Linked DNA regions of Sus scrofa. The protein of the gene in region 1 binds, or shares a complex with, the protein of each later gene. Links are inferred from orthologs where the notes say so. Each region holds a gene or a part of one and is shown in the gene's direction. Other genes may lie near its edges.

Region 1 (3,860 bases):
GCCCACCGCTCTGTGCAGGTCCCTGCCCTGGGCCTGCCTGCCCGCGGGACCCAGCCCTGCCTCCAGGCTCGCCTGGCGTGCGCATGCCCACTTTCCGTGTGTGCGTTCTCCGCAGTTCTTTCCCAACGGCAACGCCTTTGCCACTGGCTCGGACGACGCCACCTGCAGGCTGTTCGACCTCCGCGCGGATCAGGAGCTCATGACCTACTCCCACGACAACATCATCTGCGGGATCACCTCCGTCTCCTTCTCCAAGAGCGGGCGCCTCCTCCTCGCTGGGTACGACGACTTCAACTGCAACGTCTGGGACGCCCTCAAGGCCGACAGGGCAGGTAGGTGGCTGCCGGGGCCTCCCCGGCCTCCGGGGCACTCAGGCGGGGTCTCCCAGAGGCACAGGATCTCCTGACACGTGGCCAGCAGAGGGGTGGTGGCAGGGCCAGCCTTGCTCCCTCCTTCCCGTCGTTCGTGTTGGGGCACGAATCCAGGCAGGCATCCCCCGCCGTGCCCGCCAAAGCAGAGCCCAGTAGAGGCAGGCGGGGGGCCGTTGACGCGTGTATTCGGGGGCAGGTTGTGCGGAAGGTGGTCCCAGGGCTGAGGAGGGACCCTGGGGCCAGAAGTTGAACGGCGGCTCTTAGCCGGCAGTGCTTGCAAGGGTGGAGGGCCAGAGCGGGGCTCCCGCCTGTGGCTGCCCCTCTGTGTCGAGCCCCCACCGGTCCCCCAGCCCCTGCACCAACACTGGTGAGCGTGCAAGGTGGGCAGGGCCCCCTGAGGTTCCAGGCCTCAGATTCCCCCTGCCCAGGTGATTACCCACCAGGCTGCCGCGCGCAACTGCGGACCCGTCTCACGTTGGGGTTGCCGCGGGCATCACTCTGGCCTGATGCTCCCCCGAGATGGGGTGGTGTGGATTTTTTCTCTTGTGCTTCTGCTGTTTTTATTGAAGCTGTTGACTGCTGTGAGTGCTCAGGAGTCCGCGCAGGAGGCCCTGGGCTCTGGGACTGTCTGTGCCTTTCAGTCGTGTGGTCACACACACACTCCCAGCCGCTCTGCCCTGTCTCCCTTCTGTCTGAGGGCTTCCCCGGCCCTGGGCGCGTCCCCGTCCCCCCGTCCCCCCCCCCCGTTCCCCCCCCCGCCCCCGTGCGAGAGGAGCACAGCGGCCTCGCTGGCCTTGGCGGGAGTTGCAGGAGGCACCCCGTCCCTCCCCACCCGCCTCACCAGGCTTTCTCCGTCCTCATGTCCTTGCCCGGCCACTGCGCACTGCAGACTGGCCCCGGGGGCTCTGGGGCTGCCACCCCGGGCCCTCGGGCGACTGCTAGGGTTTGCTCTCAGGTGTCTTGGCTGGGCATGACAACCGCGTCAGCTGCCTGGGGGTGACGGACGATGGGATGGCCGTGGCGACGGGATCCTGGGACAGCTTCCTTAAGATCTGGAACTAACGCCAGCAGGTACCGCGCGGCCAGGCGCCCTCTGCATGCGGCTCTGTGTTTCTCGTGAGCCGGTGCAGTCGGGGTTCAGGGTTCCTCGATGAGCTCTGATGCGGGGGTTTTGGAATCCGATGCGGGGTGAGGGCAGCATTCGGAGCCGTGGTGAGGACGGAGCTGCACGTGGGGGTCTGTTTCTTTTCACATCTCTAACTCTGTTTAAAGCAGCAGGTGGACGCCGCGGGGACTGGGAGGCCCTTCCAGCCTGGGAGCGTCACGGTGATAGCATTTCCCACCCACCCACTAACGCGGACGCCCTGCACCCCCTCCGGACTTCCAAAGGGCAAGATCTTCTCCCTTCACTATTGCCGAAACCAAGAGCACAATTCCCACTGAGAGCAGAGCCTCCGTGCTGTAAACTAAGCAAATCGTGTGCATTCCTGCGGGACCACTGTTCTTGTTTCTTCCTGTTCCTTTGTGTTTTTTTTTGTCCTGAATGAATTGAAAAGGAAATACAATAATAAAAACATTAACCAGAAGGTAAACTTGAGTGTAATTGTGAGACAGACACACCTTTTCACTCATTTCTTTGGAGTCAAGATGAGTGACCCTGTTTTGTGATGTTTAGGCAGAACCGGCTGGGGCCGCATCTTGTAATGGACTCTGAACTGCAGATGGTGTTTGTAACAGGATTTTGCAAACCTTCGCATTTCTTTCTTAACATATATTCCTTTCTGTTCCGTAGTTAAACAGAGAAAGAGGGTCTAGCGCAGCCTCTCTGCCATTGTTAACGATGTACATTTAGTCCCTAGATTTTTTACTTGGCGTCTAGTGTCACGTGATGATTGCGCACGAACACGGCCGAGGAGGAGGAGGAGGAGGAGGATGCTGAGAAGCCGAGGCTCTCACGCTCTGCGGACGCCCGTCAGGCACCTCTTCGTCCCGCCCGGCCGGCCCGGCCCTCTCTGCCCTCTAGCTCAGCTTTTAGTCTCACCTGGGGTCTCCTGGCGACAGTGGGGGCATCGAACAGGAGCGCATCATGACCCCGAGTCCCACCGCAGCCGTCAGGAGTCTGTTTGCCAGAGAGGTGCCCGTCTGTGCTTGGATAGTCGGTCCGTTATCTGTGTATGAAGCAGTGTACAAATTAATGTTTTGAAAATAATGATCTCAAACTTTCTAAGTTAAATTTTAAAAAAGTTGATTGTTTGCCATATTGGGTGGGTTTACTCTTAGAATCGCATGCTGTAGAAATGCTCAAAAGTGCATACAGGACTCAGTCCTTAGATGTTCCTTTTCTTTTAAGAAATAACCTCTTGAAAATTGTAACCGTTGCAGCTCTGTCCACTTAGCGCTGCTCCTCTGTGCACACGCATCGCATCGGAAGCCGCGCAGTTAGCGGTTCCACACGCTCAAGCAGCGGGATAAGTCACTGTTTTCTTTCTTTCTTTAAAAATCAAGTCCTGTTCCAAGCGATTGCTGTCGGATTGGGGCGGGGAGTGCGGGGATCGAGACCTCAGCCTCACGCTGTGAGTTCTGCACGGCCTGGCCCTCCCTGGGAACCAGCCTCTGGCATCTGAGGCCAACCCTTTCTAACAAGCGGACCTCCCTGGTTTGGGGTCGGGCCCAGGATTGAGCAGCAGCGTCTGGACAGCGGCCGGCCTCCCCCTGCACCCAAGCGCTCCCGCAGCAGCAGCAGCAGCTTCTCCATCCTGTGTTTGCAACATCCTGTGCAAACTGCTGGCGCGGTTGGCCTGGGCCTGCAGCGGGTGGGACGCGCCCCTCCCCTGTCGGCGCCTCCTCCGTAGAGCTCTCTGCACCCTGCCCTTCTCCTTTTGTATTTAATTTTTAAGTCCGTGTACTGCCAGGAAGCTGGATGCGAGATAGATCCTATATCCAACTGTACTGTTATTTAAGATGTAATAAAGCAGTTTGACATGAGGGACTTTGCTGTGGCTGCTCGTTTGTGGGGCCGCTTCAGTTCCTGGAGGTTGTCGCCCTCCCCCGGTGGCCCCGTCCAATCGCGCGGCAGTGCCTCGGCCAGCCCTCCTCTCATCCCGCCTCCCTGGCCGTGCCCAGGGCAGTGGAGTCTCCCCCGTGTCCCACCTACCTTCCCCTCCCTGAGCCTGCGCCCCCACTGGTGGTGTGTCCTTCCTCTTCCGCCCTGAGACGCTGTGGCCGTTCCTCCAGGGACAGGCATCCCACCCTGTGCCAGGGCCACGTCTTGGTCTCCAGAGAAGAACTGTACAGCCTTGTAAGAGGAAGAGCATCTGCCAGCACGCGTGAGAAACAGAAACTTCAGTGTGTGTGACGAGGGCCCTGTGCCCCCTCTTCGTGACCCCAGGGAGTGGGGGAAGCGAGGGTCCTCCTGGCTCTGTCCGCAGGGGAGGGCCGGCGGGGTCAGCACGTCTGCAGGGGTCTCCTGGGTGCTCCTGCCAGGACTCA
Region 2 (4,024 bases), on another chromosome or scaffold:
GGAGATCCAGGCAGAAGGCTGGGATTTGCCCCAAGCCTGATGCCCTAGAGTTCAGATGTGTCTATAGGCGGGAAGGGGGGAGTCTCTCTAAGCCCAAAGAGCAGTTTCACACTGCTTTGGGGCTGTGCAGGAAGAGTACCTTTAAAAAATTCCTATTTTGGAGTTCCCATTGTGGCGCAGTGGAAACAAATCCGACTAGGAACCATGAGGTTGAAGGTTTGATCCCTGGCCTCGCTCAGCAGGTTAAGGATCTGGTGTTGCCGTGAGCTGTGGTGCAGTTCTCAGACGCAGCTCGGATCCTGCTTTGCCATAGTTGTGGTGTAGGCTGGCAGCTATAGCTCCAATTAGACCCCTAGCCTGGGAACCTCAATATGCCACAGGAGTGGCCCTAAAAAGCAAAACAAAATAAAATAAATTCCTATTTTACTGCTGTAAACTGACTTGCCCAAGGTCACCTGCCACACTCCACTGCCTATGTGGCCTCAGAGGATGTCCCTGGCTTAGCAGGTGGGGTGTGGGTGGGGATGAAGGTAATTTCCCCAAAGTGGAGTAGAAACACCCAGCTAGGGAGGGCTGCAGGCACTTGGCTCTAGAAGACGGAGCCCCATGTCACTAAGAGGAAAGGGGACATTTTCCTAGTGCTCAAGGCTCCTACTCACCTGCCATCCTGGACAACAGTGAGAAAGTTTCCCCAACACATTCTTCACGCAGCATCACAGGCTCTCAGCAAATTTATCACGCGCCAAGGTCCTGTATTAAGCCTATACCAAAATTGGGAGAGTTTTGTATCAATCCTATGGGGTGTCCTTGCCCTGATTTGGGGGTACTGAGCTCTTATCATGTTTGAGTATCTCTCCAACCCTGAGGTTGAAGAATAGGTCCCTGACCCCAGGAAGCTTGGTCAACAAAGGGGCTTGAAGAGTTAGGTAACAGTTCAGTGTAAGTGAACACAGTTCAGTCATCTCATGCATGGGCCCAGAAACCGGCCCTTTTTAATTTTTTTTCTTTTTAGGACTGCACCTGCAGCTTACAGAGGTTCCCAGGCTAGGGGGTCGAACCAGAGGAGCTGCAGCTGCCGGCCCACACCACAGCCACAGCAATGCTGGATCCAAGCCACATCTTCAACCTACGCTGCAGCTTGTGGCAACGCTGGATCCTTAACCCACTGAGCGAGGCCAGGGATCAAACCCGCATCCTCATGGATACTAGTCAGGTTCTTAACCCACAGAGCTACAATGGGAACTCCTCAGGTCTTTTAAAATAAAAGTTGTATTTCCCTTGCCCCACAGCCTATATCTGTTTTTCCCCGGGAGGGAAGAAACCTGATTTTTCTGAGCACATCCTGCATGCTGGGTACTCTGTGAATGAGGATGCCTGAATCAGCCTGGGAGATGACAGGAGATGCTCTGGTCGCAGATGGTCAAACAGGGGCTGGCAGAGGGAGGTGTCCTGGCTAGGGCTGTGGGCAGCAAAGACAGCCAGGCCTGTGCTCTCACCACGGCCTCACCCTGCCTTTCCGACCATAGAGCCTCGGGGCCCCTCACAGGCAGCTGCTGAGCTGCCAAGGGAAGCTTAAAGGGGCTGCAGGAGTTTCTTTCCTGAAGGTGGTGGAATCAGGGGAGGGCAGCCCAGGACAGGGGACAGACAGTGGATAGGCGCCCTCCTCACTCTCAAGAGCACCTCCCGTGCACGCTCGGGTTCACACTTTCTGGCCCTCACCTATTTCCCCATGCGCACTTACACTTGACCTCGGGCTTTTGCAAAATCTCCTTTGTGAAGGGAGAGAGTGAGGCGGGCTGCCAGCAATTATGTCCAGTCCCCATCAGTGGGGATGGATGTTACTTGAATACCAGTGTGACAACTCACTCTCCAGCTGTCCCCGCCCCTAAATACACACACACACTCACTCTGGGGCTGACAGTTATTTCCTCCCTAAGCCTCACTCCCCTGCCTCTGCCTGCCTCTGCTGCCAGGAGCTGACTACCTCCGGGGCTGGAATCCTGCGCTCCCTCTGTGCCCAGGTAAGGAGGCGGTGGCCCAGGGGCTGGGCAGCCTCAGTGCCCTCTCTGGACCCACGAGAGGAGGCACCATTTTATGAGGGGGGAGGGCTGTAATCAGCTAGGATGGCACAGAGTCAGGTTGACCAAAGACTGGAGGAGACTTACTGCTGCAAGGAAGAGAGAATTAGATTTTCTTAGGTAATAACCAGATGCCAAGCACAGCGGCAAACCATTCAAGCTTCTCTCTCCAGGCTCATGAGCAATCTGGGTCTGAGGGGCACACGCGTCTTAAGGTAACTGACCCAAATTCCTCCAGCCGGGAAGTCCAGAAGCTGGGATTCAAATCCAGGTCTCTGATACCAGAAGCTTGCGTTCTCTGCCCCCAGCCCCCAGCCCCCTGCCCAAACAGGACGCTCACTCCTGGCCTCCCTGGGAATCTTGGGAGGCTGGGGGCCAGACTCCATCCGGTCAGTCTGGGTGTATCCCCAGGATACAGCAGAGTGTGCTCTGTGAGCACCCCCACGGGACTTAGGCTGGGCTAAAGGGAACGTTTCAGCACAAGAGGGACCGGCATGGGTCCATCTTCTGGGTATAGAGTTCCCACTCCCCCACGGCAGCTGAGGGACCCTGGGCAAGTTGCTGTGCTTCTCTGAACCTCTGTTGTATCTTTTGGAAACTGAGGTCTCACGGGGTCATTGTGAGTGTAATTGCCCTGCAAGTTCCAAAGGTTAGAAAATACGAGTGTTCTCAGGCAGCCACAGGGACAATAGCTCACCCTACAAAGGACTTTGGTCCCTGGAGAAGGTTACGGCTTTTCTCACCCTGGCCACGTGCCTCCCCTGGAAAAGTGAATACTGAAAACCATCTCCCCCTCCTCCTCCACTTTCCTTCGCTTCTTTCTCTATCATTTCTTGCTAAAAGCAGAGGTAGAAGAGAGAGGACCACTCCTCCACATGCCCGTACTTTGGGGGTGGCTTTAAGCAAGTGATTCAAACACTTGAGTCTCAGTTTCATCATCTGCAAAATGGGATGGAGGAACACCTTTCTTCTAGGGCCACGGGCTAGAGAACACCAGCCCTGGTGTGGCAGGAGGGACCCAGGACAATCTGAGTTCCCAACCCCTGCCACTCGTCAGTCCCCTACCTCCTGCAGACATCCTCCCACCCCGACCTCCTCTGCCCTCACTGATCTCCATGGGCTCCACGTCGGATGGTCGAGGGTTCCTGATGAGGCTGTGGGTGCACACGTCTGGCATGGCTGCACATCTGGCTGGAGGCTGGCTTCCCCAGTACTCAGCTGAGTAGTTGCTCAATAAATGGCTGTTGAATGATTGTGAGAGTGAGTGAACAAATGAATGAACAGGGCTGGGTTTCCTGGGGCTGGCAGAGCGGTTGTGGCTGCCCCGGGCAGGGAAGAGGTCTTTTGGCCTTACTGGGCCTCCAGAGCCCAAATCTGGTAGTTCCTCCCTCCAGCTCTTTCTGTGCTCTTATCTTATTTCCTCTTGAACTAGTGAAGGGGGGCTGGTTCCACTGTTTGCAGTCAACACACCCAACCAGCCACCACTGTGGGAGTGAAGGGCCACACAGAGGATCTGCAGAGAGGCAAGACTTGGGGGTGCTATGGGTGGGTTGGGGTGGTGGGGGGGTGCATCCCTTAAAGGCACAGACCCTGCCTTCCAGTCCCACCCCCCACCCCAGCTGGACCCTCCTGCCCTTGACTGGAGCCCCACTTATGGCTCCAGTGCTCTGGGGACTGGGAAAAGAAGTCCTGGAGAGCCTGACCTTGGTTCCTATTTCTCCAAGTGGTCTTAGGCCATCTGCTTAAAACAATCACAATGCCACGGATGTAGTGTTTGCTTACTTAATGCTTATTGCATGGCCGGCTCTGTCTGAAATGCTTATACATAACTCATTTAATTCTCCCCACAACTCAATGACTTAGTTCCTGTGTTGCAGGAGGAAACAGGCTCTGGAAGGTTAAGTGGCTGGCCCAAGGCTGCACAGCTGAGCCCCTGGGGGAGCTGG
Region 3 (4,217 bases), on another chromosome or scaffold:
TAAAGCTTTTAGATAGAGCTTTTCTTAGGTAGATCTGCAAAATAAAGTCTAAATAATGGGTTAAAAATCTAATTGGATTGTTGATTTTTGACTCTGACTGGATTTCCTTGGACCTCAAGGAAAATGAATGTTTAGGGAAGGAGAACTAATTTGTGAGAGCTTTTCATGATGTCTTTCACCCAGGCTTGGGAAGAGCATCATGAAAAAAGAGTACCCTTTTGGAAACTACGCACACAACATATTTTTCCTAATAGGTGTGAAGAATGGCTGCTATGCATAAATGATTGTTGGAAAATAATTCTCTGTAAAACATGACTTAAGAAGCAACTCCATTCACCACTGTACTCATTTCCAATATCTAGAACAACTGTGACACATCACATAGATGCCGATATTATCTGTTTATGAGTTAATAAATACCTTTTAGAAAAAATCCACAATTTTCAGTGTCTAATTTTCATACCCAGGAAGCAGGAGAATAAAACTTTTGGAGGAAAATTTATATTAACGGCAAGTAAAACTCACACAAAATCCTAGGATTTGTCAATATGAAACCCTAAGTTTTAGTACCTTCCTAGACAACGAGCTTTTCTTTAATCAATGTTAAGGTGAGGTGACTGAGACTAAGTCGACCCTAATCAGAACCTGAAACATCACAATCAAAGTGCAGTTTTGTCATCAAAAAAACAAGGTATCTGGCGCATCTCCACTGTTAACCATCCCCTAGAGAACATCCTAAATCTTAAAGCCCAGCTCATTCCAAGACCCTCCTTACCTGGAGCAGTCTCACTGGGCTGCCGGGCACAGCTCAGTGGAAGCGAAGGTCATTCGCAGGTGGTGGCTCCAGAGACTCAGGAACTCAGGCTCCAGCGCGCATCTCCTGGATTGGAGATTCCAGCCCCTGGGCGAGGTGCGGACGGCGCGCACCTCTCCAGCCCAGGAAGGTCCGAGAAAGGCGCGGCGCAGCCCTCCCAGGGTCTGGGGGGCTGGCCGTCCTAGTGAAGAGCAAAGTACATTAGTCCGGAGCGCTCCCTCTCCTGCCCTTCTCCCGATTTCCTGACACTCTAATTCTGCCTTAAGTGATCATTTACACCTAGCCCCAGCTAGTATATAGGCTAAAAGGCAAGGGCTTCATCCCCATGCTTGATTCCCACCTCCCCAAAGTCCAAGAGGCTCACCTTCCCGGCGCCTTCCTTCCCAGCTGTGAGCTCTGCGCAAACTTCTCCCGACTTAAGTCTTCTCCTGCCCGCTCCCCCGCCCCTCCCTGCCCGCTCTCCCTCCTCCCGGGCAGCAGAGGAGGTGGCAGCGGAATTGATGAGCGCCAGCCCCCCCGCCCCCGAACTCTCCCGCCCCCGTCAGCCCGCTCCTGTCCCTGGAGAGGGAGGGGGAGCAGGAGAGCTCTGAGCGCCTACGCGCCAGCCCCTCTCGCCCTGGCCCGCGAGTGGGGCTGCACCCGCACGGCTGCCTAGCTCGAGTCCCCGCGGGGGCTCACCCCACGAGACCCCAAGAGTAAAAAGCGGCGTAAACACGAGAAGCAGGAGAGGGACCCGAGTTAGACCTTGGGGAGGGGGTGACAGTCTGGGCTGGGGGATTCATAGTGTACAGGGAGATAGCTTTCTAGGAGCCTTGTCCCCCTCCCCAGAGGACGCAAATTCCGGAGGGAGGTGAGTTTCCAAAAGAACCCACCCCTAGAGACCGTGCCACCCCGGCTCCTTCAGCCGCTGCTTGGGGGACAGCACCACCTGGGAGCCTGTGGAGAGGGTCTCCAGTGGGCGAGGTGGTGAAAGTGAGATGGAGATGGGTGGGAAAACGTTTGTCTAGGAACTGGGGTGCCGAGAGAAAGCAAGGGAAGGAGCTGGGAGGCAGGAGGTAAGAAGAGGGGCTGGGGGGTCCGCAAAGTGTTGCCAGAGCGTTCAGAGTTGGGCAGCTGTCTGGGGCTGGAGGCGCAGACTGGATTGAGGGGAACAGCTCCCTTCATGTAGGGGCTGCTGGTGGGCACAGTAGCCTACGACGGGGAGTGAGCACAGTGAGGAGGTGAGGAAGACGGGGGTCTCGAGTGCCTCTCCCCCACTAAAGCCATTGATGCCAGGAGGAGCCCGGGACAATCTGATTCCGGGCAGGGCGCTACTCCTGCCGGCTGGAGCGCTCTGGAAGGCGGGCAAGTTGGTTCCAAGGACGCACAGCCCTCAACATCCTTTAGCCCACCGCTGGATAGAGCAAGGCAGCAGCGGACACTTTTTTTCCTAACTCTGTTCAAGGGACTTTGGGCTAAGAGAGCAACATCTCGCCGTGTCCCGAGACTGAGACTGCAAGGTGGTCGTGGACCGTCCAGGTTACCAACACTGTTTACTCAGCAAAAGAAATAAAGGCAACAGCAACCAAATAGGACGGGAAGAAAGCCAGACAACAACACAGAACACTTTCCGGGGCAGTCCGAGTTTCTCCTAAGCACTCAGACGACAGAGGTGCCCTGTGAATGGGACGGCAACCTACACCCATCCGTTCTGTGATCCCTGCCCTGGAGAGATTGCACTAGGCAAAAGGTGCGTGTGTTTCTGTCCTATTTTGAACTCCCATTTCTCACCCTAAGGGGACTTTAGGGACACCTAAATCATGTGATTGGGGGCTTTCATGGGACAGGGTCCGGGGACAGATTGGTTCTCCAACCAGACCTTATTAGGGGTTTTGTTTTTCAGGCTCTTTCTCCCCTCCTCGCTCCCCCCCCTTCCCTGCCACCTCCAGTCTGGTGACCCAGAGGGCTGTGTGTGAGTCACCATGCATTCAAACCCTACAGCACCGCCCCACTGCAAGAGAATATTCTACAGTCCCTTGATTCTGGGGATCTAAGTAGGAATGATGTATTTAGCTGTAAAAAAAAAAATGTGACTAGGAAAGGTAGCAGGGCAATTGGGAGAGGAATTTTGCAAATTAACACACATACACAGTAATGCAAACAAAACCTGTACAAGAACTCTTCTGAGTTCAAGACATAAATATGAATATTCACTCTGTGCTTTGACATTGTCCTGGGTTCAGTAGTTCCCTTCTTTCCAGCAGCTGCTGATCGGCCAACACCTGATCATGCCCTCCCATAAGAACTCTCTTACATAACATTCATTACCCTCTTTTGGTGTAAACAAGCAGAGAATTATTAAAGTTGTTTGAATATCTCTTATGGTCAACTTCCGGGGGCCAAGCATTGAGAATTTCCCTGTTGTAGCCAAATCATGGCAATAACATTGAATCAGGGAGGGTCTTTTGCCGAGTGGAGGGTATTGTTGTTCTCTGCATTCTGTTGATCGAGGAAGCACAGGGAGATCTTTCTGTTGAAGGTTAATCCTAGGGCATCCTACATCGCTTATTGACAGCTGGCATTCTGAGAGGAGGATGGGGCTTGGGTCCATGAAGCTACTGAAGGTGTATGGGACCACAACCCTTAACCATAACTTAGACAAAGCAAAAGTCTAAACATTAGTGAGAAAGATGGCATGGGGGTATTATAAACCTTAAACTGTGTGTTGTATAAGTGTAAAAGAAAGATCCAGACAAATTAAGGTGTTATTTCTGTTAGAGACAATATTGGAGAAAGAAAAAAAAAGCGGGGGGGGGAGGGTTCCCTGCAGGCAGAAGATTTCAGGGAAGACGACATGGGAGAAGTGGAATCAAAGATCAGGCTCTGGGGTCTCTCAAGAGGATAAAATTGACTCTGTCAGCCACGGATGTTTTTTGAACACCAAAAGGGGTTACACCTGTTAGAAACACTTGGAATGTACAGAAATTTAACTCTACTGCTGTCTTAACACTATCAAAATATTTTCCACGTAGATACAGTGTTGTAGATCCTTAGAGAGTGGGTATTACCTGGGGATGATCTATTAAGAGGACTTGACAGTGTTTTTGGAAATGCCGTGAGGCCACTTCTGGGTTCTGAAACCAATTTAGAGGGCACAAGCTACATTTAAAAAAATAAGGTGAAACAGATAGAAAATATAGAGTTCATCTCCTGTGACAAGGGTGAGCATGGTTTCCTGAAACTTGTGTCTCTTCTTTATACTTATGTATGTACTGAGATACAAAGTAAAATATATTTCTTTCTGGGACTCAACAAACAAAAGTTTCTTAAGGTACTTGTTTGTAATAAGCCACACTTCGAATAAGAATACCTTATATCTGCAAGTAAGCCTGAAAATGAAATTAGTTCACATCAAAGGGGCATT
Region 4 (4,088 bases), on another chromosome or scaffold:
GAGGCCACAGAGAGATCTTGCAACCAGGAGAGACGTTTACCCTATATTTTACCTGAAGGCACCACCTAGTGATTCTGGCCCTAACAATCCTTAGATATTAAGAGTTGAACCTACACTACTTTGTATATTGTAGCTTGTCCACCCTGTGGGCTTGGCCAGGACAAGAGGAGATAATCCCACTACAGGCACTGTTTACTGCAGCCAGTTTACTGAGTCATGAGGCTCCTCGGACATTAACCCAACCCAGACAGTGAACTGATTAGCACTGATTTTTAAAATTTAAACCTGTTCCTGAGCCTCTTGGGAGTGCTGACCTCTTTCTTCAGTTTCTGACGCATAGACGTTTCTGAGCCACAGAAGTTCTCATCAAGGAACATTAGGGTTGTACTGCCATAAACGGAGACCACCCCAAAAGCCTTTTTGCACTTAAAACTAGAATACCAAGAATGAAGAAGTTGGCTTTTGGGGGCCAACCCAGCTGTCACTGGTCGCTTGTCTCCTGGCAGCCCTTCAGGTGTCCTGGCCTGAATCTGCTATTAGGATAGGAAAAAAGTCCCTTGGCTGGTCATATCCTCTGTAATCTGGCAGGAAACCTAAAATTTGCCGGCTCTTCTCCTCGGTCTGTTTGCTTATCTGCTTCCTTGTTAGGGAAGAGTCTGCATCACAGTGTCCGGTTAAGGGGGATTTTCACCATGACCTCACCCTACTGCAGCTACATCTTGATTTCAGCAGCTTGGGTTGGAATCCGCATCAATGAGACATCAACAACCCCTCCTCGCCCATCTCAGATTAACATCAACACGAAGTCTTTCTCCTCCAAGAGATGATCTTTGTAGGGCTCAGAGAATACCGAAGAGAGCTGCGGGCCGGTGTTGGGGAGGATGTGAAGATGTTTGGTTAACGTTTTGAGTTTGTGAGAGCAGGATGTCAAGGAAGATACTCTAGGAAAACGCACCAAAAACTTGCCCAACTCGCGCTCGCTCTTTGAATAACATTCAAGCCAATGGCCTCGAAACTAGGAGAGCGAACGATGACAGCCGGCGACCCGCACGTAACCGCGGCGGGAGCGGTTGGGGAACCCAAAGTGCTGCATCTGAGTTCTTCTCTCCGGGCCCCAGCCTCCAGGGCTCCCGGAAGCAGCCCTTGGGCGCGTAAGTGGGTGCAGCTAATTAAAGGGAAACAGAAAGGCTGGCTCTGCAAGGCGCCCAGCCCGAGATCACATGAACACAAGGCCCCACCCCTTCAACCCCTCCCCGCGCGCGCCTGACGGCGGCCGCGAATTCACAGTAGAACGTGATTCTCCGGCCCAGCGCACGGGTCGGAGGAGCCGCCGCGGCGTGCGCGCGCGCCCCCGGAGGCAGCGGGCACGCGCACGTCCCCCGGGCCACCGCCCCTCCCAGGCCCGCCCTCCTTCCCTCCCTCCCTCCCTCCCCGGCTCGCCTGGCCCGCCCTGCGAGTCAGTTCGCTGGTTCCCTCCCTCCCCCGGCGCGCTCGGGTCGCCACTGCGCTCCCCGCCCTCGAGCCGCGGTGCCGGAGCCGCCCGCCGCCCGAGGAGGAGGTGGAGGGAGCCGGAGGGGCCCGCCGAGGCGGCGGCGGCGGCGGCGGCGGCAAGATGGCGGACTTCCTGCCGTCGCGGTCCGTGCTGTCCGTGTGCTTCCCCGGCTGCGTGCTGACGAGCGGCGAGGCCGAGCAGCAGCGCAAGTCCAAAGAGATCGACAAATGCCTGTCGCGGGAGAAGACCTACGTGAAGCGGCTCGTGAAGATCCTGCTGCTGGGTGCGGGCGAGAGCGGCAAGTCCACCTTCCTGAAGCAGATGCGGATCATCCACGGACAGGACTTCGACCAGCGCGCGCGCGAGGAGTTCCGTCCCACCATCTACAGCAACGTGATCAAAGGTGCCGGGCCGGGGTCGGAGCCGGGGGGCCGGGGGCCGGGGGCGGCCGCGGGCCGGCGCGGGACCGGGCACCGCCCTCGTTCGCTCAGTCCCCGGAGTAGAAACGGGCCCGGCGGGCGGGCGCGCGGGAAGGGGGCGCGCCCCGGGCACCGACCCTGCCTGCCCGGGGTGCCCTTGCCCCCAGCGGAGGGGATGCCTGGGGGTGCCCCTTTTCCCTCTTGCTGCGGGGCAGGGATCCCGGCTGGCCCCCCACCCCCCACTCCGTCGCTGGCCTCGCCCCCTGCGAGAAGGGAAGTGAAGGGAGCCGGGTGCCGGGAGTGCGGGGTGCCCCCTCCTGTCTTCCCTCCTCCGGACGAGGCAGCAGACCCGAGAGCCAGCCCCAGACCCTACACCCTGACCCCACGCCCCAGCGCTGCCTGCCCAGCCTCGCCTTCCCGGGTGGGTGGGTGCCCGAGTCACATGGGATCGGGGCTGCTCCCACTTCCCTGCTTCCTTGGCCCTTCCAGTGTTCTGGAACCATCGCAATGAGGAAACTTTTGCCCGAGACTCTGGTCAAGGGCGAACGGTGACTGCTCTTGGACCCTTTGGGGCAAGGATATGAAACTTGAGGGTGTCCTGTTTATTGTACTGGCGTCAGGAAAGAGTAGCCCCATTTAGTTAGTCTAAAAAAGTTCGCAGCGGTGGTTTTTCGCCCGGGTGTCACGGTGGGGCAGGATGTTTGCCTGTAATCACTATGCAACACGTTCCACTCTCCTTTTGCTTAGTAACTGGGGGCCGGAGGGAAGGGGTACCACCACTTGCTTCTACTACTTAAATTAAACTGTGTGTTGATAATAAAGAATCTTTGGCCTAGAAGTGATGCAGAGCCTGTACAAGTTGAGTCAGTGAATCAGTGTCGGCTCTGCTTCTGTTTGTCAGTATTTTTTAAGTTAGATTAAGCCTTGTTAATAAGTGAAAAACGCACAAGAACTTTATTTCTGGTCTTTCAAAGAGCTAAGAGAAGAGGGATTTTATTTTTGTCGTTTGAGTGTTAATTAGCACTTCATTTTCTTTGTATCATATTTTCTACTTTATAAAAGGCATTTGCCAAAGTTGCGGTACGGAGTCTGGTACTTCAGGTGTGTCAGGATTCTCTCTGTTGCATCTGGGTAGCAATTATCTAGGAGTTCGCTATAGATTTCAAGCTTTTCCAAGCAGCATTTTTTTGAGTGGGATTTTTTTGTTGTTCAGGAAGTGCTTAAGTTACTCTCTGGTGTCACTTTTTTTTCTCCCAGGATTGAGTAGAGGAAAACTGCTTGGGGGGGGGGGAAGGGGAAGCTTTGTGAAGCTAATAACGGGGGAGAGCACTGCGCCAGGAACTCATAGACCACAGCCAGCCCTAGTACCTCTGCAGTTAAGTTATTAAAAAAAACCGGTTGTATTTATCCCTTCTTAACGTTTAGTAGTGCAACATTAATTGAGGTGTCTTTCAAAGCCGAAGACTCTGCCTAACCAGGCTCTAATTGAAGGTACCTTTGTATACCGATGCCCAAACTTAAGGAGTTCTGTCAGTGAATAGTTAACATGTTAACTGATTATAAGCCAGCTAAATAAACATCTGGCCCTGTTTTGTTTTTCATGTTTTGGTTTTTTTGTTTGTTTGTTTTGTCATTTTAGGGCTGCACCCATGGCATATGGAAGTTCCCAGGCCAGGGGTCCAATCTGAGCTATAGCAGTTGGCCTCTGCCCCAGCCACAGCTACAGCTATGCCAGATCTGAGCCACATCTGCGACCTACACCACAGCTCACGGTAACACTGGATCCTTAACCCACTGAGCAGGGCCAGGGATCCAACCTGCGTCCTCATGGATACTAGTCGGGTTCGTTTCTGATGAGCCACGACAGGAACTGTACCTGGCCCTCTTTTAACACCTGGTTCTCAATGTGCTCTGACTTCTAAGTGTGACCTACTTTGAGCCTTGATTATGAGATGAAGTCACTAGCCATCTACTTTTTTGAGTTGGCATGATCAGAAAATTGACAGCCAAACAGTTTTTCAGTTATCCAAACAAGTGACCTAAGAGCCATGTGATTATTGAGAGGGACTAAAAGTAACAGCTTAATGATAGAAATAATGGGTTTGAATTAATCACCATGAGTTTGAAATCTCTGTTTTTATACTGTTTTTGCAATTGGTCTTCCTCCTTTTAGGGAA
Region 5 (4,055 bases), on another chromosome or scaffold:
AGGAATGACAAAATCAGATACTTAATGTCAAGGACCAAATCTGGGAAAGCTCTGATCAAGACTGGATAGAGCTGTCTTGATTTTCTGACAAGTATATTATAATCTCCCAGTGATGGTGGGATGTGAGAGTGTGGAGCATTGAAGGCAGAACTACAGTGTACGATGCATTATTTCAGAATGACTTTAATCAAGCCAAAAACGGTTGCGCCACATCCTGCTTAGTGATAGATGTAAGTTAACAAAAAGGGCAAACTCTTTCATCTACAGAATTTTCATTATCAGTAAATTTTTATGCTGCACAGTTGTTCTCCTTGATGGTCATGGGTGTCTTTCCTTGCCAAGAAGACCAGGAGCTTATTTATAAAGGAAAGACACAATGACTTTTGCTACTCTGTATTCCCTTTGACAGCTAGCAAATGCCTGGGCATCAAGAATTGAACTGAACTTAACCAGATATATCAATTAAGGTTTCAACTTTTTTCATTTAATTGCAGAAGGTGGATGAGAGAAAATGCAGCCTTAAGATATTTCATACACTGGTGTTATATTTATATGCACATACTTTCACAAAAGCAAGTCTTGTCCTCAGCTATATTTTAGAATCAGATCATTGTACCTTTACCAGTTGGGATAAGTACCTAAAAATAATGAGTGCTCTTGTTGGAATGGGTTTTCATTAAAATGAAAAAATAAAAACCTAAGACTGATTTGAACATGAAAAGTTTATATCCTCATTTTTTTTTCTTTCTTGGAGATACCGTATTCCATGAAGCATCATAAATACTTTTAATCCAATGTCTATTAAGAAAACATGGACATCGATCCTTGTATAAAAGAAAAAGAAAAAAATTACCTCACCCTCTTAATACATTTGCCACTGCCCCCCCCCAAATAAACAGTCCGTGAATAGTTCAGCACAATTGTATGTTTACAAAGCATAGCAGATTTGTTCTAACATTTTCCCACCTGGAAAAACTGGGCTTAAGCATCTTCGGCAATCAAAAAGCAACACTGCGTTCTTCCCAATAAGTCATGTCACCTTAATAGCAAAGATATACTCGCAGGAATGAGACTAACTGTAAATGTTCTGTTGTAGAGATTGCAGATGGAGAGCGTGGCTCTGGGGATGGACGTGAAAAGGAGCGGAAAGAAGCCTGGAGAAAAGGCTGTCATATTTGCTCAGAAGAACCACCGAATCAGAGAGCAGAGAAGATTTCATTGGAGGAGCGCCTTCAACAGCAACTAATCCTGTCATATTGAAAGAAAATTGTAAATGTTCTCTCCAGAAATTGTCCGCCCATTGCAGCTAATCAAACCCACACGCACGAACACCGGCACGCTCTCTTGTTATACCAAAAGTGCCCGGGCGCAGAGACCCGGTCCAGCGAGTGCGCGCGTGTGCACACACACACACACGCACGCCAACATACATACACACACGAACGCACACACTCGCCAGCCTGAGGGTTAGCCAGAGCCGTGAAACCGCAGATCCTACTAGGAAATCGCCAGGGACACAGACCTAATTGGTAATTAGTTGTCCCTACGCTGATTACTACTTCCCCAAGCACTTTGGTGAAGGAATGAATCCCGCCCAGCTCGCCGGTCCAGCCAGGTCTCGGTTCGGTTTTGCTCTCCAGACTCATCTTCCTTATGAAGGCCAGGTTTGAAAGTCATTTTTGCTTTTCCTTTGGCGTTTTGGTGCGGAGGGCGGAGGCAGCGTCGGTTTCACTCCAGTCTGCACTGCGAAGGGGTTCCAGACTCGCCAGTTGACTGGGACTGGTGCGAAGTGCGCGTCTGCTCGCGCGCGCGCCCGAGCCCGCCCGGCAGCGCTCGCCGGAGCCTTGGGTCCGCTCTCTCCCCGCCTCCCCCGCCCCACCCCTCCGGGTGTCTCGGCACCAACTAATCTTTTCCTTTTCGCTTGCTAGATCAAGGGAGAAAGCAAGCCGGCGCCTGGCCTCGGACTCTGAACAGCGCGCAGCTCGCTCCCCGGAGGATCAGCCCCGAACCTGCGAAGGGCTCCCCACTCCTGCCAGCCCACACCAAGCTTCTTGCAGCCCGGGGAGCAAGTGGAACTAAACCTGCGGCAGGTAAGGACACCGCGCTGCCCAGCTCTCCGCTGGCGGGCTCCGGGCCCCCAGGCACTGCGGAGTCCCTCCCAACCCCCAGGGACGGGCACAGAGGCGTCCAGGGTTAGGGAATTGGAGAATTCCTCCACAAGTGCAGATCTGCAAACGGAAACTTTGACTCTTGGAGCTTGGAGAACCGCGCACAGCGATGGCGGGTCTGGAAAGAAGGGGCCATTGAGGTAGAGTGCGTGGCGGGGGCGTAATTCTGCGGGTCACCGGGTCCAGCGGAATGTGGCGAAGGCAGCCTGGGGGCCGCGCCGGCCAGGGTATTGCGCCCTCTTTCAGCCAGCCATTCCCTCCTCTGTCACCCGGCTCCCTCCTTCTCCCCGAGAAGTCTGCTGGGAGAAGAAGGGAGCGCTTCGCCCTCTTCAGCCCCTCGTATTTCTTCCCGCCAGGGGGTCTGGCCAGGTCTTCCAGGCGTTTGGGGTGGAGGCCTGGCTACACTGTCTCCTCCGGCTCCTCCTCGCGGTCCTCGGGTTCCGCCTTTCGAACAGCCCTTTCTTGGGGCGTCCGCGCCAGCTCGCTGGAGGGAGGCTTGGTACTGTGGTCTGACGAATGTGGCCACGGGGCAGGGGAGTAAGATTGGGGAAAGGGACCCAGGACAGAAGAATAGGTAGTCTTCTGCAACATCCCATTTTGGCCCACGCAGGAGGTTGGCTGTCCACCTCGAACTGAAGGCAGTCCACGAGCAACCGGACGGACCATGCCTGGGCTTCACTGACAGCCACCTCTAGATGAGCTCCGGACCACCTCAGCGGGGTTCGCGCTCATAGATTGGGAACAGCTGCACCCTCTATGTCCCTCAAGGTCCGCACCTGCGGACCTGGGCAATCGCCGCTAACTTGCAGCTTTGGGAACCCTCAATTGCCCCCGCAGGGGAAATCGCGAGGAAATTCCATCTGTGCGCTCCGCCCCGCGCCCCTAGTGGGGCAGGAGGCTGATCTCCTAGGAGAGCTCTGAAGAGGTCAGAATTGCCCGGAATTACAGATTCCGAGAGCAGCACATACCCTTTGCCTCAGCCCCGTCCAGTCCAAAGTCCCCCTTTCTCTACCCTCCTGCCGGCGGCGTCCTTTGAGCTACAGAATCTTTCAAGGGAGGGTTCTCTCGAGCGCTTGCCAGTCCCAGGCCTTGAGATCAATGGTGCCTGCATGGTAATATCTTTGGGAGTCACTTGAGAAGGAGAGGAGGGAGAAGAGCAGAGAAATGGAGGTAACCGCCTAAGCCAAGCAGAGCTGTCCGCAGACATCTCACCCCAGCTGCCCTCGCATGTCCTTAATGACCTCATGTAACCCGCCACCAAGGGCTCCAAGTCCACCTACCCAGGCGCAGTGAGCCCAGCAAGAGCAAGGCGCCTCGAGGTCCTCAAGCTTAGGAATCCCCCGCATTGACTTTGTTTCCTTTTCATCTTCTTTTCTTTTTTTGGTTTGTTTTGCTTTTCTTGCTCTTTTTCTTAGCACTGGGTGGCAGTGGGTTCGTGTAGTTTGCCAGTCTTCTAGTGCAGGCAACCAGCAACACAAACATACATCTTCACGCTCTACCACACACCAACCTGAATTCCAGCCTGCAGCAGCACGTCTGTCACCCCTGGGGTGCCTACAGCCACAGCCACCTCTATGGCCACAGTTCAGTTACCTCTGGCCTCTGCTCCTCAAAGCACTGGGTGGGAGGAAAGGGGAGCCAACTCTTATTCCAGAGAGAAACCGTCTAGAAAGGCAGTTGAATGGGTTGAGAGTGGGGTTTAGGGAGCTGGGGGCAGGGGAAGGTGCCCCTGCAGAGCAGTAGTGACCCTGAGTTTGTAGCACCCCCGGACCTCAGCCCCCCGGTCCTCAGCCCCCCCTCCTCCGTCAACCTAGGGCAGAGCCCACTGGGGGGAGGGAAGGGGGGTGGGGGGGCGCGGGGTGTTGGGGGGGCTTTTTCTGGGGAAGA
Region 6 (4,101 bases), on another chromosome or scaffold:
CAGCTCCCAGGTCCATGGCAACCTGTTCAATGTTCTAGGTCCAGTCTCAGTCCCAGTTGGATGTCCTGGTCCTGGGTCCATGTTCAGAGTTTTTTGGGGTTTTTTTGTCTTTTCGCCATTTCTTGGGCCGCTCCTGCAGCACATGGAGGTTCCCAGGCTAGGGGTCTAATCAGAGCCGTAGCCACCACCCTATGCCACAGCTCATGGCAACGCCGGATAATTAACCCACTGAGCAAGGCCAGGGACCGAACCCGAAACCTCATGGTTCCTAGTCGGATTCGTTAACCACTGCGCCACGACGGGAACTCACCATGTTCAGAGTTTTTGATGTTGGGTCTAGAACCCTGGTCTGCAGTGAATGGCCCACATCTGGGTCTGGGCCCTGCTCTCAAGTCCAGGGTTTAGGGTCATGATAGCGGTCTGAGTCTGAGGGTGGGATCAAGGTTGGGGTCAGCAACCAAGGTGGGATGGAGGTCGTGGTCCGTGGGTGGCATCAAGTGTTTGAGGTCATGGTCCACAATCTGGGTCTGGGGTCAGTGGTAGGGTCTGGATGTGAAGGGCGGGGGGGTGGGCTCAGAGTGTTGATCCCAGGCCATGGTCAGAGTCTGAGGTGGTGGTCCAAGGTCTAGGTCTGAGGTCCTGTTCGGAGTCTGGGGTCAGGAATGTTATCCGGGTCTGCGGTGCGATTTCCGACTGTGTCCAAGGTCAGGGGTCAGGGGTTACAGCCAGGCTCTGAGACCCAAGTCCCTGGGATTACGTTCTGAAACGCCAGTCTGCGGTCCCGGCCATGGCCTCTTGTGGAGTCTGGGATCCGAGCTGCGGTCCAGGTCTGGGTCTGGGGGCTTCTTCGGGCCAGGTCCCTGCCGTGTTCCACGTCCGGGGTCAGGGTCTCGGCTGAAGGTTGGGGTCCGAGATCCGAGGCCACGGGGCGGAGCTGAGACGGGGTCCGGGTGGCCCCGGGGGTCAGTCTCAGGCCACCCGCGCGGCCTCCAGGGGGCGCCGCCGCCCGGCCGCCCGGCCCCTCGCGGGCTCGCTGGCGCTGTGCGCGGCAGGCGGGGCCGGAGGCGGCGGCGGCTCCGGGGCGCGGGTGGCGGCGGCGGCGGCGGCGGCGGTGGCGGTGGCGGCGGCGGCGGCGGCGGCGGCCCGACTGCAGTCCCGGCGGGAGCGGAGCGAGCCGGGGCCGGGCCCGAGCCGGCGCCATGGGGCGGCGCCGCCTGTGAGCCGCGGCGAGCGGAGCCGCGGGCGCCCAGCGGGGCCAGGCGGGCGGCGGCGCCCGAGGCCGACGGAGCGGCCGGGCCGGGCCGAGCGCGCCGAGCGGAGCGGAGCGGAGCCGAGCGGCGGGAGAGGCCGCCGCCGCCGCCAAGATGGCGGACCTGGAGGCGGTGCTGGCCGACGTGAGCTACCTGATGGCCATGGAGAAGAGCAAGGCCACGCCGGCCGCGCGCGCCAGCAAGAAGATCCTGCTGCCCGAGCCCAGGTGAGGCGGGCGCCGGCCCCGCGCCCCGCGGCCCCAGACCCCCGGGCACTGGCCCCGGGACCCCTTCTGCCCCCGGCGCCCCGGGCCTGTGCACCTGAACCCGGCGCGCCCCAGCGCCGGGCTTGCCAGCTCCCCTGGCTCCCCGACCCGCCCGGTGCCCCCTGCCCCACTGTGCCTCCCTCTCCCGTCACACACTCTGCCTGGCCCCGGTCTCTGTCGGCCCCAGGGGCTCCCTGCTCCCCTTCATTCTCCTCGGGTAGCCCTGGGTCCCCTCCCCTGCCTGCCCCATCTGCCTGGCCGGACTCTTCCTCCCTTCGTTCCGCTGCCCCTGCTCCCAGCACCCGCCCCCCGGGTGCCACTGCCCCCACCCTGGCCCCCTCGGGTGGACACTTGCCTGAGGTTTGGGGGATACTGGGTCTTCCCCATTCTTCGGGTGGGTCGTTGGCTTGGGGTGGGGTTTGAATTCGGCTTTAGGGGCTGGGGCGGTGGTGGGGAGCAGGGTACGGTGTGCGCCCCATCCCATTAAGACACCATCTGTCCCTCTCCCCGCGAATTCGTCCTCCGGCAGGCCCTGCTTGCGGTGCCCTGTGGGTGCCATTTGCCAGGGGACGTCCCGGCACCCCTGCAGCAGCTGGACCACGGCTGCCACCTCTCTGTGAGACAACTGATGACATTGCACCTGATATCAAAGTTTAAACTGTTCAGGATTTAGGGACAGGAACAGACAGGATACAGGCAGTAGCTCAGGCTGTCCAGTGTTTTATGGCTTCTAGAGTATTTTCCCATTGTTTGAGCGTCAAGCAGCCCATGGGTGGGTAGAACCAGTGTGGAACAGGTGGGGAAGCCGAAGGCCCAGATGGGAGTAGCCTGCTCAGTGTCACAGGTAGTCCAGGGTGGTGCCTGGCTGCCAGATCAGGGCTTCCGGCTGCTGGTTCCACAATGTGGCCACCCTTCTGGCCTGAGCGGGGACCTGTTATTCTGCAACTGCAAGAGCCACGGGCCTACCACCAGTCCCAGCAACTCCTCTATCTCTGCCTGGGAGTTGCCATGCTGAGGCCCAGCCGGCCCAGCCGGCCCAGGAGCCTGGGCCCCTCTGAGCTGTCATGGTCTTATCATGTGACTTTGGGCAAGTCCCTTCCCATTTCAGGGCCTCAGTGTTCTCATCTGTGAAACGCGGTGGGTGCGAAATAAGGACTGTGACCGTGGCATCCTGAGTGTCTGAAGCAGGGCCCAAAGCTGCGGGGCCAGCATCTCCGGTCCCCTCCACTGGGCCCTGTTTGCTGGCTTTCGAATTGACTGAACACCAGGCCTGGGAGAGGAAAATCGGTCTGCATTTTGAAAAGGCCGTTAGGGCACCCCCCCCCTTTTTAAGACATTTGCAATCAGATTTCTCAAAACAGGAACCAGACTGACTGTCAGCTGGGGGCTGTCCAGGGAGCAGCGACAGTTAGAACAAAATGAGTTCAGAAATGACAAAGCCACGAGGGAGGAAATGGGGGCGTCAACCTCTGGGGTTCGCAGTGACTCTCCGTGGTGGCCGCGGGCCTCAAGACCCTCCTGTGGGTCGGACTTGTGTAAACTGTGAGGCGGGGCCTTTTCTAGAATTCTCTGCGTTTGGGTAATCTCGTCCCAGAATGCTTTGCTGCCGACGGGGCCCCGCCTTGGGTTGGCTCTGCAGGTGCTAGAACCCCGAGAACCAAGATGGTCCTTTCCCTGTCCCTTTACCCGCCATGATCGTGATGGCGGCGGTAGGCCTGATGGTGGAAATGAGAATAATTGACTTGTTTGGGACATGTGTCATCTCAGTCGAGCCAAAAACCAACCTGTGGGGTTGGCAAGGCCGTGCCTCGCGTGTAGTAGTTGCTCAAGAAATTTCAGGACTGTGTCGAGTCTGAAACCAGGTGGGCCGGGAGTTTTAGGGGAACAGCAAGAGCCGGAGAACCAGGTATTGTGAGTCCTCACGTAGGGTCACGATCTGGCGGCATGATGTTGGCTAGATGGCCCACGCCATGAGACGGACTAGTGGCCCCAGCAGTGGCCGTTCCTGCACCAAGGCCACGAGGGGCCTCCCGCCTCGGAGGAGACGCCGTCCTTTGCTTTGTGCTTTGCCCACAGGTCAGAGGCCTCCTGGGTCAGAGGCCTCCTGCCCTGGACATCATTAGGCTGTCGCGTACGTTTGCCTGGCACGTCCCAGTTTGCAGAGTGCCTTTTACTCCATTTTATCCTTTTCACAAAACTGTGGGAAGCAAGCATGGCAGGTGGTATTTTCTCATTTAATAGTTGAAGCAACTGAAGCTCAGAGACTTGGTCCCGGAGGCGAGGCAGAGATGGCACTTGGGGTCTCTGGACTCCCACGTGCTCTGCCCCTGCTGTGCCTCATTTCTTCCGCACGCCCGCTCCGTACCTCCGCCCTCACCCGGTCCTTGTTTCGCGGAATGTGCCAGTTGGCACCCCTTGCCCGGGGAGCTGTGGCTCTGTGAGGTGGCCTGGAAGCAGCAGGGCAGCCCCCAGCACCATAACTGTCTTGGGTCACAAGGCTCAGCTCCACACCTGAGGTCATGTCTTGCCCACCTGAGGTCAAGGTCGGGGAGAAAGGCCAAGGTCTGTCTGTGACAGGTGCCATT
Region 7 (4,230 bases), on another chromosome or scaffold:
TTTTATTCATGGTTTTTAATCTCCCTGAAGTGGATTACCTTATCTATGTATTTATTATATATCTCTCTCACAAGACTCTAAGCCCCAAGAGGGTAGAGATCATTTTTTTTAACATGTTGCTGGAACATAGTAGTAGACTTTTAATAAATATTGGTGGAATAAACAAGTGAGCAATTAGATATTTATCCAATGCCTATTATATACCAGTTATGTTCTAGGCACTGGGGATGTGGTGATGAATCAAGCTAACTCAAATCTATGACCTCTTAGACTTTGTATTCTTTAAAATTAAAAAAAAATTGTACACAGTTTTTAAAGGTTACTTTCCATTTAGTTATTACAAAATACATCCTTGAGCCTAGCTTATACCCAATAGTTTGTACCTTCCACTCCCCCCTCCCTATGTTGCCCCTCCCCTTCCCTCTCCCCATTGGTAACCACAAGTTCTTTGTGAGTTTTCTTCCTTTTTGTTATATTAATTTGTTGTATCTTTTAGATTCCATATGTAAGTGATATCATACAATATGTGTCTGTCTGACTTATTTCACTTAGTGTAATGTCCCCTAAGTCTATCTCTGTTGCTGCAAATGGCAACATTTCACTCACTTTTATGGCTGAGTAATATCTGAACTTTATATTCTAATGCAGGGAAACAGTAAACAAAATGGGGAAAGGGACGCTGCTTGAGTGGGGCTGTATGTTAAATAGGGTGACCAAGGGAAAGTTTTGCTACAGAGACCCAAAGAAGGAGAGAAGGGAGGTACCTGAACAAGGTGAAGAAGATAAGATGGGGAGGAGAAATGAGTCTTTCAGCAAAGCGAGCAGGATGTGCAAAGGCCCTGAGAAAAGAGTAGGGCTGGAAACGTGGTTAAAGCAGTGAGCGCCTGAGATAGTGGCAGGGGATGGGTCTGAGAGGTCCTCAGGGGACAGCCCCAATCTCGTAGAGTTTTGTAGGCATTGGCGGTTTGGGTTTTACTCTTTTTTTTTTTTTTTTTTTTTTTGTCTTTTTGCCTTTTCTAGAGCCGCTCCCCTGGCATATGGAGGTTCCCAGGCTAGGGGTAGAATCAGAGCTGTAGCCACTGGCCTACGCCAGAGCCACAGCAATGCGGGATCCGAGCCGCGTCTGGGACCTACCACAGCTCACGGCAATGCTGGATCCTTAACCCACTGAGCAAGGCCAGGGATCGAACCCACAATCTCATGGTTCCTAGCTGGATTCTTGCGCCACGACAAGAACTCCTGGGTTTTACTCTTTGTTGAGATGAGATGCCAGTGAGGGGCTTTGAGCAGAGTGACATGATCTGACTTAGGTTATAATAGGATCCTTCTTTTTGTTCTGGTGATAAAACACTGTAGGAGGCAAAGGTGGAAGCAGGGTGGTGGTGAAACATGTGAATAGCCTGGAAGAATTCTGAAGGCAGAACTGACAGGATTTGCCGCTACAATGAAAAAAGTAATGGTACAAAATTATGTACAAAATTGATACAAAGAAGGCTTTTCTTGGATTTACAGAAAAGAGACTTTTTTTTTCCCCCCAGGTCTGTGACACTGATATAACAAATAGTAGCACAGCCACCTAGGCATTCAGCATGGGAACTTGGAACTTTTGTGTCAGCTGTTATTATATCAAAGACAAAACCAACCAAACAAAAAAGCGTGGTCAAATAAATTCAGTACCAAAATCTGTACTTGCAATTAAGTGAGCTGGTTTGGGGCTTGATCTTAGTACACTGACATGAAATGAGATAATTGTTCAGCAGACGTAAACCTTTTAAGTGAAAATGACACATCCGTGAGGGGACTGTAAAGCTCATTGGGTAGTTATGTAAAAGGGGAAACATTTTTATCAAGAACAAAGATCTCGCCTGATATATACTGATTTGACAGTCTGTTTTTCAAACTTGATCTGATAATTCCTTAGATCTCTGACCCTTGCCTACCCGGTGACACTGATGGCGCTTTGGAGCCTACTCAGCCTTGCGTTCTTCTACCAGTGAGGCCACATAGCTGGTGCACAATAGATACTCATCGACTTGCTGATTAGACATCCTTCACCACCCACTCTTCCGTCCCCTTTCTGCGGTTCTCAGGAGCACTTTATTTACCAAAGTCAGAGATCAGATCATCACTCACAAATGCGAAATTTCAGAATGCGTGGGGGTTAGAGCAGGTGGAAGGAGCCATTCAAGGCCCCACCCGCCACGTGGTAACGGGCGAATGAGAATGTGGAGGGAGCAGGAGTTAGAAGACCACAAGGGATCTGGAGAGGGCCTTCCAGTGTTCGAGGACCCTGAGACTAGAAGGAATTTAGAGCGGGATGAACGGAGTGACCCAGGCCCGAGGGAGCAGGGGCACTGCACCTCTGGGAGGATAAAGACGCAGAGGTTGAAAGGGAGGTTCTCCAAATTACATTAGATCTTCTAACCCTCCAAGTCTCAGAACGCGATTCACCTGGGGCCACGGAGACGGAGCCTTCCCTTTAGGCCTCGGCAAACACGTCCCTTCAGGCTCAGCAGGAGGCAGCGTCCGCTACCTAGAGGGGAACGCGCCCCGAAGCCACTGCTTTAACTCACCCAAGTTCCCCCACTGCTATTTCAGCCCATTTCCTCCAATTTTGAGGTAGTCCCAACTAACGAGCTTGCGTCTTTACCCAGAAAATCCTGCAGCGGGATACCGAGGTTAACTTTTTGTTTGTAGGGATTTTTTTTTTTTTTTTTTTCCCGAGGCTACACGTCCTAGCGAACAAAATCTAGCTGCCTCCGGGCTGAAGCGGGCCCACCCCAGCGGGAGGTCTTTCCATATTTTTGGTCTCTGGAACTTTCAGCAACGCGGCGATCGGCGTGTTTACGAAGAGGCACAGTTCCCGTGTTCAAAGCGGCTAGGTGGGGGGAGGAGGGGCGGTCAGGCACTTCCACTCTTCGGGTGAGGAGAGCCTGAAAGTTTACGTATTCCTTCCACTGGCCCCGGAGCGCTTAGGAGGGAAAGGGGCGTTCTGATTGCCTCTTCAAAGAAGGCTCCTCTGCCGAAGCGCAGATCCCAGGCTCCGTCCACTCTGGAAGAGGATGAAAGTTGGGCGGGAGCGGGAAGGGGATGGAGCGCGGGTCGAGGAGGGGTGGGGAAGTCGGGGCGCCCGGGCGGCGCGCGAGCCGGGGTGGAGCCAGCAGCTGGCCACGGCGTCAGCGTTTAAGATGCAAATCGATTCACCGCTCCACCGCCCCCTCCCGCCTAGGGAGCGAGGCTCCGCCGCTCCGCAGCCGCCCCCGCCTCCTGCGCGCAGCGGCGCTCGGGCGGGCGGCTCTACTTAAGCGGCGTGCGGGCCGCCACCCGGCACTCCCCTGGAGCGCGCGGGCGAGGCAGGCAGAGCGCAGCGGGGCTCGCGGGGGCGCACAGCGGCGCGCTCGCAGGGTGCGCTCGGCTCCGCGCGGCTCTCGGCTGCAGCGGCGGCAGTGGCCGGGGCGCAAGGCTGAACGAGCGTCCGGGAAAGCGGCGGCTTCGGCGCGCGGCCCGGCTCCTGGCCACTGCCCTAGCCCGGCCACCTCTTGGCCATGGCTCTGGCGGACAGCACTCGTGGATTACCCAACGGGGGCGGCGGCGGCGGCAGTGGCTCCTCGTCGTCCTCGGCGGAGCCGCCGCTGTTTCCTGACATCGTAGAGCTCAACGTGGGGGGCCAGGTGTATGTGACCCGGCGCTGCACGGTGGTGTCGGTGCCCGACTCGCTGCTTTGGCGCATGTTCACGCAGCAGCAGCCGCAGGAGCTGGCCCGGGACAGCAAAGGCCGCTTCTTTCTGGACCGAGACGGTTTCCTCTTCCGCTACATCTTGGATTACCTGCGGGACCTGCAGCTCGTGCTGCCCGACTACTTCCCAGAGCGCAGCCGGCTGCAGCGCGAGGCCGAGTACTTCGAGCTGCCCGAGCTCGTGCGCCGCCTCGGGGCGCCCCAGCAGCCCGGCCCCGGGCCGCCGCCGCCGCACTCGCGGCGCGGGGTGCAGAAGGAGGGCTCTCTGGGTGACGAGCTGCTGCCTCTCGGCTATGCGGAGCCCGAGCTGCAGGAGGGCGCCTCTGCTGGGGCGCCGTCGCCCACCCTGGAGCTGTCTAGCCGCAGCCCGTCCGGGGGCGCGGCTGGCCCACTGCTCACGCCTTCCCAGTCGTTGGACGGCAGCCGGCGCTCGGGCTACATCACCATCGGCTACCGAGGCTCCTACACCATCGGGCGGGACGCGCAGGCGGACG

The links.
Region 2: the proteins of GNB1 (region 1) and PTGDR2 are in contact, whole or in part, in a cryo-EM structure (PDB 8XXV), measured with the Homo sapiens proteins. The link is inferred for Sus scrofa from reciprocal best matches to the Homo sapiens genes GNB1 and PTGDR2. Residues at the interface, in NP_001269468.1 of Homo sapiens: Thr50, Arg52, His54, Leu55, Gly310, His311, Asp312, Ser334, Phe335, Lys337; in NP_004769.2 of Homo sapiens: Cys59, Arg60, Arg62, Lys314, Arg317.
Region 3: the proteins of GNB1 (region 1) and GNGT1 are in contact, whole or in part, in a cryo-EM structure (PDB 7L0P), measured with the Homo sapiens proteins. The link is inferred for Sus scrofa from reciprocal best matches to the Homo sapiens genes GNB1 and GNGT1. Residues at the interface, in NP_001269468.1 of Homo sapiens: Leu30, Ile33, Thr34, Ile37, Val40, Ile43, Met45, Arg48, Arg49, Trp63, Ser84, Tyr85, Thr86, Phe235, Pro236, Asn237, Asp254, Arg256, Ala257, Gln259, Leu261, Ser279, Lys280, Ser281, Gly282, Arg283, Leu284, Leu300, Asp323, Gly324; in NP_001316355.1 of Homo sapiens: Met31, Val33, Lys35, Cys36, Cys37, Glu39, Val40, Arg41, Tyr43, Val44, Arg47, Ser48, Asp51, Pro52, Leu53, Val54, Ile57, Asn62, Pro63, Phe64, Lys65, Glu66, Leu67.
Region 4: the proteins of GNB1 (region 1) and GNA13 are in contact, whole or in part, in a cryo-EM structure (PDB 8H8J), measured with the Homo sapiens proteins. The link is inferred for Sus scrofa from reciprocal best matches to the Homo sapiens genes GNB1 and GNA13. Residues at the interface, in NP_001269468.1 of Homo sapiens: Gly53, Leu55, Lys57, Tyr59, Gln75, Asp76, Lys78, Ile80, Thr87, Asn88, Lys89, Val90, His91, Ala92, Ser98, Trp99, Met101, Leu117, Asp118, Asn119, Tyr145, Asp186, Met188, Asp228, Arg314, Trp332; in NP_006563.2 of Homo sapiens: Ser31, Ile34, Asp35, Leu38, Glu41, Lys42, Val45, Lys50, Gly205, Ile206, Glu208, Lys219, Val221, Lys231, Arg232, Trp233, Phe234, Glu235, Cys236, Phe237, Asp238, Ser239, Val240, Arg279.
Region 5: the proteins of GNB1 (region 1) and CHRM2 are in contact, whole or in part, in a cryo-EM structure (PDB 7T96), measured with the Homo sapiens proteins. The link is inferred for Sus scrofa from reciprocal best matches to the Homo sapiens genes GNB1 and CHRM2. Residues at the interface, in NP_001269468.1 of Homo sapiens: His54, Leu55, Asp312, Asp333, Ser334, Phe335; in NP_000730.1 of Homo sapiens: Val50, Asn51, Arg52, His453.
Region 6: the proteins of GNB1 (region 1) and GRK2 are in contact, whole or in part, in a crystal structure (PDB 5UKL), measured with the Homo sapiens proteins. The link is inferred for Sus scrofa from reciprocal best matches to the Homo sapiens genes GNB1 and GRK2. Residues at the interface, in NP_001269468.1 of Homo sapiens: Leu55, Ala56, Lys57, Tyr59, Ala60, Gln75, Asp76, Gly77, Lys78, Pro94, Leu95, Arg96, Ser97, Ser98, Trp99, Val100, Met101, Leu117, Tyr145, Ser147, Asp186, Met188, Cys204, Asp228, Asn230, Asp246, Ile270, Cys271, Asp290, Phe292; in NP_001610.2 of Homo sapiens: Tyr553, Gly556, Lys557, Asp558, Phe584, Pro585, Asn586, Arg587, Glu589, Pro597, Gln598, Leu600, Thr602, Glu604, Ala654, Leu657, Val658, Val661, Pro662, Lys663, Met664, Lys665, Asn666, Lys667, Arg669, Pro671.
Region 7: the proteins of GNB1 (region 1) and KCTD12 are in contact, whole or in part, in a crystal structure (PDB 6M8S), measured with the Homo sapiens proteins. The link is inferred for Sus scrofa from reciprocal best matches to the Homo sapiens genes GNB1 and KCTD12. Residues at the interface, in NP_001269468.1 of Homo sapiens: Arg8, Glu12, Lys15, Arg19, Thr184, Asp186, Cys204, Asp205, Ser207, Thr221, Thr223, His225, Glu226, Ser227, Asp228; in NP_612453.1 of Homo sapiens: Lys246, Asp251, Leu253, Glu255, Ser256, Arg257, Asp258, Pro259, Asp260, Arg261, Pro262, Pro263, Arg265, Arg269.

The regions. Positions count from the first base shown.
Region 1 is NC_010448.4:63,866,655-63,870,514, reverse strand, and holds the end of GNB1 (guanine nucleotide-binding protein G(I)/G(S)/G(T) subunit beta-1), read left to right. Parts: intron 1-115; coding exon 116-332; intron 333-1,326; coding exon 1,327-1,433; 3' UTR 1,434-1,442; intron 1,443-1,643; exon of another isoform or gene 1,644-1,646; 3' UTR 1,647-3,327; downstream 3,328-3,860. Other genes in the region: uncharacterized protein LOC110261347, read right to left, coding at 3,328-3,685. UniProt on the Homo sapiens protein: Guanine nucleotide-binding proteins (G proteins) are involved as a modulator or transducer in various transmembrane signaling systems.
Region 2 is NC_010444.4:10,890,056-10,894,079, forward strand, and holds the start of PTGDR2 (prostaglandin D2 receptor 2), read left to right. Parts: upstream 1-1,224; 5' UTR 1,225-2,021; intron 2,022-3,510; 5' UTR 3,511-3,601; intron 3,602-4,024.
Region 3 is NC_010451.4:73,402,230-73,406,446, forward strand, and holds the start of GNGT1 (guanine nucleotide-binding protein G(T) subunit gamma-T1), read left to right. Parts: upstream 1-1,417; 5' UTR 1,418-2,543; intron 2,544-4,217. UniProt on the Homo sapiens protein: Guanine nucleotide-binding proteins (G proteins) are involved as a modulator or transducer in various transmembrane signaling systems.
Region 4 is NC_010454.4:11,964,114-11,968,201, reverse strand, and holds the start of GNA13 (guanine nucleotide-binding protein subunit alpha-13), read left to right. Parts: upstream 1-1,288; 5' UTR 1,289-1,612; coding exon 1,613-1,895; intron 1,896-4,088. UniProt on the Homo sapiens protein: Guanine nucleotide-binding proteins (G proteins) are involved as modulators or transducers in various transmembrane signaling systems.
Region 5 is NC_010460.4:12,597,515-12,601,569, reverse strand, and holds the start of CHRM2 (muscarinic acetylcholine receptor M2), read left to right. Parts: upstream 1-1,255; 5' UTR 1,256-1,529; exon of another isoform or gene 1,530-1,848; intron 1,849-1,928; 5' UTR 1,929-2,090; intron 2,091-2,104; exon of another isoform or gene 2,105-2,308; intron 2,309-4,055. UniProt on the Homo sapiens protein: The muscarinic acetylcholine receptor mediates various cellular responses, including inhibition of adenylate cyclase, breakdown of phosphoinositides and modulation of potassium channels through the action of G proteins.
Region 6 is NC_010444.4:5,224,708-5,228,808, reverse strand, and holds the start of GRK2 (beta-adrenergic receptor kinase 1), read left to right. Parts: upstream 1-1,301; 5' UTR 1,302-1,364; coding exon 1,365-1,477; intron 1,478-4,101. UniProt on the Homo sapiens protein: Specifically phosphorylates the agonist-occupied form of the beta-adrenergic and closely related receptors, probably inducing a desensitization of them. Key regulator of LPAR1 signaling.
Region 7 is NC_010453.5:49,030,409-49,034,638, reverse strand, and holds the start of KCTD12 (BTB/POZ domain-containing protein KCTD12), read left to right. Parts: upstream 1-1,430; 5' UTR 1,431-3,545; coding exon 3,546-4,230. UniProt on the Homo sapiens protein: Auxiliary subunit of GABA-B receptors that determine the pharmacology and kinetics of the receptor response. Increases agonist potency and markedly alter the G-protein signaling of the receptors by accelerating onset and promoting desensitization.